Linked DNA regions of Oreochromis niloticus. The protein of the gene in region 2 interacts with the protein of the main gene of each other region in a pairwise test. Links are inferred from orthologs where the notes say so. Each region holds a gene or a part of one and is shown on either strand. Other genes may lie near its edges.

Evidence for each region. The genes of interacting proteins can lie anywhere in the genome.
Region 1: the proteins of ccdc174 (region 2) and eif4a3 interact in binary tests that used the Homo sapiens proteins (3 or more experiments, as listed by UniProt). The two-hybrid records come from large-scale screens. The link is inferred for Oreochromis niloticus from reciprocal best matches to the Homo sapiens genes CCDC174 and EIF4A3.

What each region holds. Positions count from the first base shown.
Region 1 is NC_031971.2:41,937,430-41,944,674, reverse strand, and holds the start of eif4a3 (eukaryotic initiation factor 4A-III), read right to left. Parts: upstream 3,069-7,245; 5' UTR 2,935-3,068; coding exon 2,781-2,934; intron 1-2,780. UniProt on the Homo sapiens protein: ATP-dependent RNA helicase. Involved in pre-mRNA splicing as component of the spliceosome. Core component of the splicing-dependent multiprotein exon junction complex (EJC) deposited at splice junctions on mRNAs.
Region 2 is NC_031970.2:23,072,972-23,080,359, reverse strand, and holds the start of ccdc174 (coiled-coil domain-containing protein 174), read left to right. Parts: upstream 1-4,354; 5' UTR 4,355-4,465; coding exon 4,466-4,507; intron 4,508-4,731; coding exon 4,732-4,839; intron 4,840-4,898; exon of another isoform or gene 4,899-4,933; coding exon 4,934-5,034; exon of another isoform or gene 5,035-5,060; intron 5,061-5,117; coding exon 5,118-5,176; intron 5,177-5,242; exon of another isoform or gene 5,243-5,262; coding exon 5,263-5,410; intron 5,411-6,866; coding exon 6,867-6,962; intron 6,963-7,080; coding exon 7,081-7,217; intron 7,218-7,388. Other genes in the region: putative deoxyribonuclease TATDN2, read left to right, coding at 294-434; ghrl (appetite-regulating hormone), read right to left, coding at 1,891-1,910, 2,014-2,125, 2,211-2,288, 2,671-2,817, 3,888-3,914. UniProt on the Homo sapiens protein: Probably involved in neuronal development.

The DNA of each region.
Region 1 (7,245 bases), on a different chromosome or scaffold from region 2:
GCCTTGGTGCAACAGACTGAAAGGCTCTGTCCCCTTTTGTCTTCAGTCGTGTACGGGGAACAACTAAGAGACTCTGAGTCTGTGAGCGGAGATGACGAGCAGCAGTGTATTTTATAAGAAGCTTGGATAAATAATCTGGGGCCTGGCCATTTAGTGCGCTATATGTTAAAACAAGAATTTTAAAGCAAATTCTAAACTCTATTGGGAGCCAATGTAGAGAATATAAGATGGGAGTGATGTGAACACGTTTGGTAGAACGAGTTAATAGTCTGGCTGCTGCGTTTTGTATCGCCTGGAGGTGATGATGATTTATCCAAGCTAGTAAACAGGGAATTACAGTAATCTAAGCATGATGACACAAATGCATGAATGAGTTTTTCCAGTTCAGCTGAAGAGACCATATGTCGCAGTTTAGATATGTTTCTTAAATGATAGAAACAGGAACGAGACAAAGATTTTACATGAGAGTCGAGGCCCAGAGAAGAGTCAAATATTACTCCAAGATTCCGAATATTTGACTTGACAGATGGACAGAAGGAGGCAAGAACCTGACTGATTTTAGAATGTAGCTCAGGAGGAGCTATGATCATGGTCTCGGTCTTGTTAGTGTTTAGAACGAGGTAGTTGCTTGAAAGCCACTCAGAAACCTGGGTTAAGCACTGGACTAGGGTGGACAGCCTATCCAGCTGATGAGGCTTAAAGGACATATGGAGCTGGATGTCATCAGCATAAAAATGATAAGACAGGTCGCTAAAAGATTGAATGATACCAGCTAAAGGAAGCATATAAAAAGAAAATAGTAATGGACCTAAAACTGAACCCTGTGGGACCCCACAGGTCAGGGCAGCAATGTCAGAGGTGAACCTGTCAGTCCTAACAGAAAAGGTCCTGTCTGATAAGTAGGAAGAAAACCAGTCTAGGGCTGTGCGATATGACCAAAATCTCATATTCCGATATAAGACATTATCGTTCCGATAACGATATAAATCACAAAAATTTAACATTTTCTGTAAATTCTGTGAATCTCGGGCAGCTCGACTTGCGTGAAGTGTTTCCAGCTGGGCGTCGTGTACCTGGAGTCGAGTGTTTTAACCGATGCATGAAACTATATATTTTTAGACATAAGTTGTAACGGCCGCCGTTTTCTTTGTGAGTATTTATTACACGGCGTGCTGCGGGGAAAAGTCTGTTCTAATGCTTGAGTCTAAGGTTTATTTTTTAGCAACTGATGGCTCTTTTTTGCTTCTCATCCACAAACACGCCGCATCCTCTTTCACGTGATTCAGTTTATTTTGAAAAGTCTCAACAGGATCTTGAGCTTTATTGTGAAAGGTTTATGTGGAAAATACACAAGTGGACACGCGATAGTTTTACCGTCGCTGTTGCTAATGACGACGTATAAAAACAGGCGCTTGTCCATCCGTAGTGTGGTTATATTAAATATAAGAGAAAGAGACAGGTTCTTCTCTACTGGGTTCATAAACACAATAAACACAATTTCACACCAGTAAAAACACCGCTTCATGAAAGATCCTGGTGATGCTGTTGTTTCACTGAGTTTATAATCAGCTGATAACAGCAATGGCAGTCCCTCTAACATCTACAGTTAGAGAAGATCCCGGCTCTACCACACCACCAGCACTTTGAAAATACTGAATTAAGTGACAGAAAAATCTAAAAGGTATTATAATTATTTTACTGAAAGTTTTTCTAATGAGTTTAAAAGATACATCCTTAAAGACTTAGCTGGATCAAATCACCAAAATATCAGAAAAATATATATTTCATATCCAGTCCTTCCTAAAAAAAAAAGAGCTCAGTTTTAACATTTTATATGAGTTTTACCCAACTAATGATTTTATTACACTGAGATTTAAAGTGGATGTTTTCTGTGATGGGCAGAGATTTGTGATGCCTGCCGGCCGGGGAATCAACTCAGTCAGTGCTAAACTGGAATTTTTATTAACAATTTAATGGAAAAAATTTTATTGACAGCTCTCAGAGAAATCAGAGCTGATCTCGAGCTGTTTGATAAGTCTCTGAAGGTTGTTCGAATTAGCCCATAAATCATTTCTATTACTTAAATATTTTAATTGACTCTGGACTACAAAAATAAAAAATAAAAATAAAAAATTTAATTGAACATGATCAACAGATGAATGCTTCTTTGTTTGTACACATGTTCAATAAAGTTTTTGTTTCCGACACAACTTCCCGTGTAGGTACTGAAAAAAGTACCTGGTACTACCATCTAATGGAAACCTTAGAAGGCACTAATAGAAAAAGGCTACGTTAGGCGGTGATACCTGGTACCAGGGTTTGTTTTTAGTACCTACACAGCCGGGGATCCAAGCGATCTGCTATAAAAGACAACAACGAGGAAACCAGCAGCACATAAACTAAATTAAATACAGTTACAGTCAGTTACTACATTACACTGAGCCACTGGACCAAGTCGGGTCACACACCGGGTCAGCAGTCACAGAGTCCGGTCTAACCCGATCTAAAGTCAGGTCTATCAGAACATCTGCTTCTCCGCCACTGAAAGTGCGCAGACACGTTAGCAGGTCGGGCTGATGCTAATCGGAGAGCTTCTGGAAAGAACTAAAAGCCGGATAGTCAGTCTAACGGCACCCCTCCGGATACGATGCCCCCGGGGTCGAACTGAGCACAGTGAAATCTCTTTAATTCGCCTACTCAACACACTGCGCCGACGTTAGCTTTACAGATGACTAGCTGAGCTAGCTTTCCCCCGGAGGCCGCGCCGAACCCCGGTTTACCGTAGGCGTAGATCCCGCGGAGAAGGTCCTCCCGGAGACCCATGGTGTCGAAGGTAGGGGTGACGTCCACCTCCTCGCTGGTCTCGAACTCCACCTTGGTCATATCTTCCTCCTTCAGGATCCTCTTCCTACCCTGAGCCCCGGTGGCAGCCATGTTCCTCGGAGCTTTTAATCCGTCTGAAAGTCGCAGATGTCCGGATTCACCAGTCCGCGCTTCGCCGCGCTGCTAAGCTAACTGCTAACGAGAGAAAGAAGCACGTGTCGCTACGCCGATGACGTCCGCAGCGGGCGACGAGGATTTGACGTCACACCAGGAAAAAATAACAAACTTCCGGGTTCTTTATCAGCGTACTCGGAGGCCGATTATACGACACAGAATAAAACGTAAACCTGATCGAATGATGAGAAACTGATCAATACGTGAATAAGAAAGTGTCTCAGTGTTCGATCAACCCGGGACAGAGAGACTTTTGAAAACAAGGAATAACATCCTATGCACAATAACCCGAACTATATATACAAAACACACTGTTTATTTACACCGGATTGTATATTTGTACATTTGTTTCCTTTTTTTCTGTTAATACTGTTCATATGAATATAGTGCTGCAGAACTGTGCCCCCCCCCCACACACACACACACACACACACATACATACACACATGTTCACTGAGTTGGAGATGCTCTGTATCTGTATCATTGTACAACTGTATAGTGACAATAAAGGCATTCTATTCCATTAAACTGGACCCTTTTTTTCTCTAACTTTATTTCAACAGAGACTTTAACAACAAGCACAACACACGGAGAGCATGTTGTACAACTGTAGTGCAAAATTCTAACACAGTGGAAGAGTATGTATAATTAAACACACAGGATAGAAATACAGATTAAACGGGGAAAGTGAGAGATACAGAGACGCTGAATAATTAACTTAAGACATTAAAATATTACAAATATTCATGTTTTTAAAGCTTTCTTGTTGTGAGAGGAACAAACTGTTCTGTTTCTGTCCTGAGAGTGGAGAGCTTACATTTATGGATGTGGAATTTGATTAATGAGGGAAAAGCATGAGAGTCTTTCTCACTAAAGTCAGTAAAACCAAATAACACGTTTTGGTAAAAACGTACAAATTCTGATAAGATGCTGTCAGAGATGAAACTAACGATATGTTTCATAAAACCTGAGCAAATGTAAATGTTTCTGTATCGCTCTTCTGTTTTTGAAGGATTTAAACTGGACCCTGAGACACACTGACAGGTGTGATGTCATCACGTCAGCCGCTACACTGGGCAGCCTGCAGGTGATGATGTAATCAAACATAAACAAACCACAAAAGTGTAAACTGACAGTTAATCTGGTAATCTAATATGAAAGCGGTCACCTGTGCGGCCAGGTGACAGGAAGGAGCTGAGGACTGACGCTGCTGTTGTATAAAATCACCAAATACTCCGATGATTTTCACCCCTTTAGAAACTTTGTTACTCTGTTGTTTAAATGAATTTCTTTTAAACAATGTTTTTTATTAAGAGTTTTTTCTTTATACATATAAACAAAAGGAGAAGAGAAGGATGGTTTGTACATTTGGGCTCATTAGTCCGTACACTTAAGGCCGTAAAATTTAGGGAGAAAAGGAAAAAGAAAAATAAAGAAAAAAAATACACACACACATATAAATGTGTAAAAACAAAGTGCTTCCCCAGATAACAAAGTCCCTGCAAAATAATCCCATTCATTCCCACCCAGGTCACTGTACACTGTATTTCCACACCTGACATGAGGGAGGTGCACACACTCATGCACCTGAAAAATTCTTATAGATTTGGAAATGCATCAAGGAAACGACCCCGCATGACACGACATGAGGTCATACAACCACTGTGTGTGTGAGTGGGAGGGGGTGAATGATAGCTCCTGTCTTTTAGAGGCACCTCATTCCCACTGATGCCAAACAGAGCAAGATGAGGGTCGGGGGCCAGCGTCACTCTGAGAATCCTGGACAGGGTATGAAAAACCTCTGTCCAGAACTGAAGGAGACTGGGACAAGACCACTACATGTGGATCAGTGAGGCTTCAGCAGTTTGGCATCTGTCACAATATGGAGCGATATCAGGAAAGACACGAGATAATCTGGATGTTTAAATAAAGTTTATTTGTTTGTGAGGTCACACTGAAGCAGCTTTATTAAAAGAACTACAACTGCTAAATTGGCCGACGTTTCCCACCTGCCTGCATCACAGGAGGCAAAAGTACAGATGTTCTGTACTTCTTCTACTGCAGTAGAAGTACATGGACTAGTGCTGAAAATACTACAGTAAAAGTTAAAGTACTGATTCAACTTCTTTACTCAAGTAGGAGGGAAAAGGTACCGTCACAGTGGGGGGTGTGTGTGGTTTGGTGGGGGGGTTCACAGCAGTCTCGGCTGGATTCCATCCTCCACACCGAATTATCTCATTGTTGCCTCGAAAAACCAAAAACGTACTTAAGGTGACTAAGTTAGGACAGAGTGTTCACTGAGTACTAAGAACTGGACTTTTCTGAGTGAGCAACACTAAATGTTTTTCCATTGACATTAACAAAGGTCTACAAAGTTCTAAATTAAAAAACAATTTATGGTAACTTACAATTTTTAATTTGGCTGACTGTAATAGGGCAGCCCTTAGCGGCTGGAAACACAGTGAGATGGACTAAGGCAAGTGCAGTGGAACAAAGTATTTATTTGCCATACAGCTCTCCTTACAACAATTCACTTCGAGCTTCTTCACAGCACAATATATCCTCCTCTAATGAGGACCAGCAGCCTTAAATATGTTCAGCTGTCACAGACCAAACCATTATTCCACTCTTAGGTAAATTCTTAAATCCCAACCTTCCACCACAGTATACAATATATGAATTAGAATAAATAAATACATAAATACAGTTCACATTTTCATATTAATAAATATTTCACACTTTAATTTTACACCAAACCCAATACTATAAAAACCCAGAAACCCAAGCACAAAAAGATTCACCATACTCTCTTTACCAATGGTCTCTCCCGGAACCATTAAATGGTGTCTGGACCCCCGGGGAAACATTTGCCCAAACACCCTGAAGAGGACACAGACAAGAAAGGTGAGTAATCATTGTCTTACAAACACTTATTTGCGCCACTTTCCTTCCTAGATTTCACACACACATTTGCATTAGTTTTCCTTACTGGTAAACCTTAATCATAATCTCAATCACCATTCTTCTCTCCTGACAGACAACCACCACATTCCTTGATGAGGAGCAGCTGTGCAGGATCTGAAACAAGGCTACCAACTGATTTTAAAATGCCCAATAAATAATCAATAAATATTTAAACTTCTTGTGTGCAAATGTTTTACTGTGCAAATCCATGCCTAAAGTGCAATACTAAATAAAGTGCTTGATAAGGTGCTTTTAATAAAGTGAAAAGTGTGCTCTAAAGTGCTATACAGAGAATATAATATAAACTAGAAAGCGAAAATTTCAGAAGAAATTTTATGTGTGCCTATGCCGCTGCTAATCACTGTAGTTTGCCATTCATACGGCTACAGAGAGCAAAACTCAGAAGAGCAGCCATTCTCCACCATGAACTATGGTAAAAACAAACACCGCTCACGCTTCACAGATGACAGCTTACAGTTTTGTGTAAAGATGAAGTTACTTCATACAGCGCCGATTTGCAGACGCTGTGCACACAGGTTCATGAGCAGAAGTCTCATTGTACCACGGCAGACCCGACAATGTTTGCATGAACATGCTTTGAAGCATTACGTTATGGACCACTTTTCACACATGGTTGGTGTACCCACACAGGCAGCTGTAGCTTTTCAACTCATAGCCCAACACACACCCAAAGAACAGCCAAGAGAGCACAGACTTTACACCCGTGGGTCCACCTCCCCTGCAGCGGCACTGCAGACCACGCCCCGACACACACATCAAACACATAAAATAAATATTTATGCACTTTCGCATTCACTTTTTGTTTTTTGTTATTTTTACACAGTGTTCTGAATGATGAACAATGGTCTACAGCCAATCTTGTGTATTATTATACAAACTTTGGTTGTAAGATTCAGATAAGTATTTAATAAAAGCTAAATATTTTATATGAGAGTAAGAAAGAAAAGTATATCTTTATGTCCACCTTTCTCTGTTAATGCCCTACCTGGCCCCCTGGCAAAAGCTTTGCTAGATCCGCCCCTGCACAGTTACCAGCTGTCAGCTACACAAAAAAAGGAGCTTGGTGTTTACAGGGAGTGCAGAATTATTAGGCAAATGAGTATTTTGTCCACATCATCCTCTTCATGCATGTTGTCTTACTCCAAGCTGTATAGGCTCGAAAGCCTACTACCAATTAAGCATATTAGGTGATGTGCATCTCTGTAATGAGAAGGGGTGTGGTCTAATGACATCAACACCCTATATCAGGTGTGCATAATTATT
Region 2 (7,388 bases):
TCATACTGTGTGCAGCAGATCCAGCAGTGGAGACGTTTTTATTCCACCATGCTTCTGAAAAGAAACACCTGCCTGTTGGCTTTTCTCTTGTGTTCCTTGACTGCTTGACCTCTTGTTGATCTGAAACTAAACTTTTCCCTCCAAGAGTGGAGTGAAACTGGGCACATATTTCTATTTCTATTGAGTCTAAAACTATTATCAGTATTTAAAGCAAATACCCAGTTGTTATATTCGAGGTATTATTTATTAAGAGACTCCATGTTGACCTTTTTGAATGTCATACTCTTTAACAGGTTGGGAAAGGTGTCTGCCAGTTTTCCCATCCTGGAATGGGCATCCATACTCTGCGGGAGCTGAGCCTACTGAAGGGGGAAAACATGGCCACTGTCCTTGACACCATCCGAAACAACACCACGCAGCTGTATGGTATATGACCTTCAGAGAAAACACTGCAAACTGGCAAGAAAGAAGAGAGACGTTTCCTGTTTTTGTTTTATATTTGTCAGTTCTCCATATATGGATGTTGACATGTGGAGAAGAAATCTCATTTTAAACAACCTGAAAGAGAAAAAGGAGACGAGCCTGACTGGAATTAAAATATCTCTTGTCTAACAGAGATCCAAGTGTATAATTGTTTATCTGAATATTTTTTATGCCATTGTTATTACAGATTAATTTGTAAGCAGTTTTTGTGTTGTTTTTTTTCTGTGTTTCTGTAGTTTTACATTGCTCGCTTGTTTGGTTTGTCTGGACGTTTGGCTGCCTTGGTGTGATGCAGTAGAGATGCATTAAAAGTCTTTATAATAGTGCTTCTTTTTTCTCTGAGACATGTTTTGTTAAATTAGCGCACAGGAAAGCATCGTCTTTTACAGTGGAGCAAATGTGTACACTGAACAAAGCCGATTCTGCATTGAGGAAAGGAGAGGGGCTGCGGGAGCGGTCCATTACTCCACTTTAATGACGCCCTGCTCGTCACACACATTTGTCTGAGTGCTCTTTTCTTTTTTTTTTCTGTTTTTAAATCTTGAAAACCATTATCTGCGTAAAGGTTAGTGTGTGAAATAAAGAAACAATATCGAGAGTGAACAGATATGTGTTCATCCTGCCAGTTTTTTTTAAGCACAGTTCTTATTATAGAGGCTTTAAAAAGGTCAGAGCAAACTCTGTCACTGAGGTTTGGACAAGATGTTCTTCAACATCCTCCTTCCTTTTTGTGTTTTTAAGACATTTAGACTTTTGATTGTAGCTTTAAAGGTACCAGTTAAATCTTTACTCAAGTGTTTGCATCCTAAGCATCTGTATCTATTTAATATTTTTAGCTCATTAATTGTTAGTTTTTGCAGTGCAGCTAATTACCACCAAGAAAACTTATTGTTATTCACCCATCAGGTAACCTGTGAGTCATGAACCGGATGAGCTGTTGCATCACAGACCTTCTGATTTAAAGACTCATTAAATATAATACAGTGAGACAAAAGGTTGATTGATGCTTTATTGTATAAGGCATACTCGAATCCTAAAGAGACAGACTAACATTAGATCGTATTTCTCTGCTGACACAGGAATTTTAATAATGAATGCAAAATGTCAGAGTGTGAGTTAAACGTTTGGGTGTTTGGGAGACATTTTTCCTGCAGCTGCACCCTGTGAAATTCATAATGACAGCTGAACCAACCCCTTGATGATGAACATAATCTGAAGAGGCTGAAATCTCCAGGAAATGCTATTTGGCTGATTGATGTGTTCCATTTTACACACAGGGTCACATAGTAAGCATTTTAATGTTTTAGGCATCATTCATTTATCTTGTATTTCATGTTATTTAACCACAGTCTAATAACTTAGATAACTAAAGCTAATAATGGAAAACACTGACACAGTCTCTGATCTTCAACGAGGAGATGGTCTCTCTGGGGAAAAAGAATATATATATATATATATATGTATATATATGTTTTGTAATATTTAAAGGAAACACTTTTTTAAATGTATAAACCAGAAAGAAGGGACAACCTGCTGTTTCTGTGTTTCCCAGCAGGCGTTGCACGATCTCCTGCAGCTCTACAATGTAGTCCGCCAAGTCTTCTGCTCTTAAAGTGACGCCAATTTCAAAGGGCGCACTTAGCTGGTCAGAAGAGAAAAAAACACAAAGCTGCAGGATTGACTGCTGGGAGATGGGCTGTATCTGTTTTGTATTTTTCCCAACTCACTGTGATGGTTTTGTCCTCATTGGCTTGATTTGGCTCCTCCATGGCTTGGCGACCAATTCTGGAGGACTTCACTTTGTTCTGTGATTTAAAAATGACATCTCATCATTGTTATGAAATAATTTCCACTTAAGAGGTTTAATTAACATAAGAAAACCTCCCTAATTCAAATGGCATGGGTGAGGTACAATGTAGAATAATGTCACTGTTTGGTTGGTGAGTTCACAGTCCAAATAGCTGGTAGGGTTTTAATTTTTAGTCCATTTTAAAGCTTTGGTGGTTATGATGGGTGATAATAAGTTTAAACTCAAAGGCTGAAAACAAAAAAAATGAAGCATGAAATATTTATAGTGTATTACAAGTGTCAAAAAGAAACCAAAACTGAGTGAAGTTTTCATAAAGATTTTATAAAAATGTTGTTTTAAAAAAAATATTTGATAAATCAGGACAGAAAGTATCTCACCTGAGGTTTCTGTGATGGGCTGAGGAAGCTGGAGCCCGCACTGGTTGACTTGCACCACAAGGTCAAGGAACACAAGAGAAAAGCCAACAGGCAGGTGTTTCTTTTCAGAAGCATGGTTGAAGAAAAACGTCTCCACTGCTGGATCTGCTGCACACAGTATGATGATGCTGTCTATTCAAAACCAGCTCTGATGCTTTTCATCTGATTCTGATATGGATCTAACTTTCTTTGTTTTCCGTCCGTCTTCATACCATTATATACCTTTCATCCTCCTTCATACTGGTTTAAAAAAAACACTGAACACAACAGTAACAGGATGTTGTTTGATCATATCTTGGTAACATAAGACTCCTCAAATGTTTAATCTGATAGCAAAGTAGGCATTTCTGTGTTGTGATCTGATACGAGGTCTGATGGACATCTTATCAGTGGGCTATGGACAGAATAGTATTGCAGTCACAGACTTCTACAGCAGCACTCTCTCAGGCAAGAGCTGTAGTAAAGCTAGCAATAATCTAATGTTTGATTAGACAGGGCACTAAATTTATATCAGCATAGTGTTATCATTACATCAGTGCTCAGCTGAAATGAATGCTTCTTTAATATCTCTGAAATAAACAAATAAACCAAAGTAACTGGAGCGGATATTGACACAGCCATGTGGCATTCCATTTACAAGGATTTTCATTGACATTCACATGTTTGTGTTGTGTAATTGTGCCTTCAGTGTAACTGTGATGGTTCAAAAACGGTTTTTAGTTTTTAAATCAACAGCCTACTGAGTGACGCAATACATGAAGCCTCAAGCATCATGCATAAGACACAGTATGAAGGACAATTTATATGAAATGGAAAAACTCGCATAAGTCAGACAGCTGAATGAGCTACTACACTCCAAGAAGTGTAATTACATTTCTTTGATTTAGGAAAGTAATCTGTATTTAATATTTTTCCTATTTAGGCATCACGCCTACCATATGGTTACTCAATACTTTGTTAGGTACGCGTGTCCAATTACTCAGAACAATTATCTTATCAGCTTCTATACAGCAGAAGAAATGAGGCTGTGACATTACGATGGTCAGGAAATAAACAAACCGTATGAATGGATGTGTCCATCCTGTCTCATAAAAGCAGATCAGTCTGTAGGGGATATTTTTGGTGTACGCTTTTCCCCCTCAATACCAAGTGATCATTCTTTAATTTCCACAGCTTACCTGAGTATTGTTGCTGACCATGTCCATGCCTTTAGGAACGCACTGTACCAATCTTTTGATGAAAACTCTCAATATCACTGCGAAAGAACACTTTTGTAATGTGTTCAGTGTTTAATTTTCAGGAAATGGTAAGTTTATCCAAAAAAGCTTCTACCCCACAAAGGTGCAGACACTTTTGTCCTCATATAGATATTGAAATTGTTCTAAACCTTGTGCCAATAGCCATGTTACAATTAAAGCAGTTTTCATAACTATCTCGCACACAAATGCACATGATCACCAATAGAGCAAAAAAAAAGAAAAAGAAAAAGAAAACTAGACTCCCACTGCACGACTTTTTTTCTTCCTCATAAAATCTGTTTTCCTTTATCTAGACTAGACAATAGTCAGCTCAATTTATAGTTACTTTTCAACAAAAAAGGTGAAAGTAAGACTGAACGTTTGAAGCGGAAATGCGTGCAGTGTCGGAGAGACGCCACTAGTTGGCTGTAAAGCGACAGTTTGGTAGCAACAGAAACACCAACGAAGAAGTCGGACTGCTAACAGCAACAAACTGGAGATTAAGGTGGAGGGAAAAAATGGATAAAAAAAAGAAACCTTTAGACGTGACTGCTTCATCGGTGAGTTGAATGTTACAAGCAGCTCTTCAAATATTTATTTGACAGCAGCTGCAGATGTTTGAGCTTAATTATACGGATAAACATAGCTAACTTACTGTCAGGGTTGCTAGCAGCACATACAACGAGCATGGACTGTATTTAGAAGAAATATATAATGTTTGTAAGAGGTTTTTTCTTTAGAGAATGAACAGCTAAATCTTAAATTTCGGTTTTGTTTCGTGCAGCTAGTGGACCTTAAAGCGGAGCTGTACAGGAAACAGGAGCAGTTCAAACGGGAGAAACTTGGACAAGAAACTTCTGGAGCAGGAGTCAAAGAAAAATCAAAAGATAAGGTACAGCACGAGTGATTTCAGAACTTTTTTTTTATCCTGGTGTGCAATGACAGACTCACGTTTCTAATTTTCTTCTCCACATGTTCCTCTGCAGAAGCCAAACATCTGGAGCAAACAGAATGCTGGTGTTTCAGCAAGAGCTGCTAAAGATGCAGAGCAGCTGGAGGAGGAGCGGAGCACCATCGATACAGCAAGGTCAGTTCAGTACTGTTGAAGTTCTTCTGTATAACAGGAGGGAGACCAAAACGTCTCACGTCTTTTTTTTACTCTCACAACAGGCGTAAGTTGGAGGAGAAGGCGAGACTCTACGAACAGATGACTAAAGGAGACTTTCCAGGTTGGTGAACGGTTTGTGCCTTATGTCTGCTACAACAGCGTCAAAGTGTGCTTACTTTGTATTTACCTTGTTGTGTAACTCATCAGATGAAGAGACAGAAGGGCTGTTCCTTGTTGACTTCACCCAGAAGATTATTGACAAAAAGAGAGAAACACTTGCCCAGAAGGAGAAAGAGGATGAGGAACGACTCAGCTCGTCACCCGTCCCTCCTCCTGAGAATCCGGATGAAGAATGGTAACTTCACATTGATTGCATTCATCAATATTCAACTTCTGCTGGCACCATATAAATATATCAATATTAGGCTTATATGTTTTCCAGTATTTGCTAATACATTATATTGCCAAAAATATTCACTGGTCTGTCTTGAGTGACATTCCTTTCTTAATCCATAGGGTTTAAGATAATACTGGCCCATGCTTAGCGTCATTTCTTTTAGCTTTCCACAGGTTTAGGAGTGAGTTTATGGGAATTTTTGACCATTCTTTCAGAAGCACATTTGTGAGGTCAGACAGTAATGTTTAATGAGAAGGCTTGGCTCATAGTCAGGGCTCTGTGCAGGGCAGTCAAATTCTTCCACTCCAAACTTGCTCATCCAAGTCTTTATGGACCTTGCTTTGTGCAGTGGTGCTCAGTCATGTTGGAATAGGAAGGGCCGATCCCCAAACTGTTTCCACAATGTCGAAAGAATGAAGTTGTCAAAAATGTCTCGTATGCAGAAGCATTAAGAGTTCCTTTCACTGGAACTAAGAAGCCGAAACCACTGCTCTAGAATCCAGTGGCAGCGTGCTTCACACCACTGCATCAGACGCTTGCTACACACTGTTCTTGAGCTAATCTGAATGCCACATGAAGTTTGGAGGTCTGTAGTGATTGACTCTGCAGAAAGTTGGCGACCTCTGCACAATGTACGCCTCAACATCCACTGACCCTGCTCTGTGAATTTACATGGTCTACCCTTTCATGGCCAAGTTGCTGCTGTTCCCAATCACTTCCACTGTGTAACAGCTGAGTGTTGAATATTTAGTAGCGAGTAAATTTCACAATTGAACCTGTTGCACAGGTGGTAAGGAGCTCCTGAGAGTGACAAGCGTTTGCTTGCAGAGGTGCTTGATTTTATACACCTGTGGCCATATAAGTGATTGGAACACCTGAATTCAATGATTTAGATGAGAGTGGCTTCTGCTGCATTGTTTACCATTCCCACAGCCCCATCTGCAGCACATGCGTCACAAGTGTTTGTAAACTACTTTCAAAAATACAATCCTGGAAAGTTAACAAACAGTGATCCCATGGTTTTCTAGATGTCTAGAAAGCTTGGAAAAAAAGCAACCAGACCACGTCCAAAGGGGAAAACCACCATTAGGGGTTAGATACCTGGGGCTTGCCATCTTTTGTTTTTAGAACAGAAGAAGCCTCTTGTATAAGAGCTGAGACGTCTTCACAAACTTAGTTCAGTTGCATTTTTTAAAAAAAAGTTTTCTAGTCTACCATGAACTGGATGATTGAGAAGCCACAAAGGTTGTATCAGCCACTATGCTCTGCGAGCAAAAATTGCCCTGCAAATATAGAAGGAGTGATCAGACTCTATCACTGCTTTTTGACATTACAGATAAACACATGGGCATGTGTTATTTGTCACAATATTTAAAAAACAAAAACAAAAAACAACTATTTTTCTTCTCTGCAGGGTGGACTTTGTGGATGCTTTGGGACGATCTCGGCGGTGCATGAAGAAAGACCTGCCAGGCTTTAAGAAAATGGACCAAGACCTTCAAGGGAAAGGGTAATTATTTATTTATTGTAATTTTTTTTTTAAAGATTTGTGTGATCTTTTTTTTTTCTTCAAAGATGTTAATGAAATATTTGAAACTAACTGTTTTGGATATGCCTGGTCCCTGTAGAAAAGCTTCATCAGACAAGACATTACTCTCAGAAGACATGCGACGAGAGCTGCAGAGGCAGGAGTGGGAGAGGGAGGAAGAGGAGGCAATGAAAAGGCCTGTTGGACCGATTCACTATGAGGATATCAGACAACAGGGTTAGTGTCACAGCAAAGAGCTTTGAGCCCTTACGTGGTCTTTAACTCAGTCAGCTACAAGGCGATTTGTTTGTGGGTACAGATTAGGATTGAGCCTGTGTCATCTTTCCTCATAGTTGGCTATAGAGTTAATGATGAGTTTGAGTGTTTGAATATAGATCTTTCTGGGTG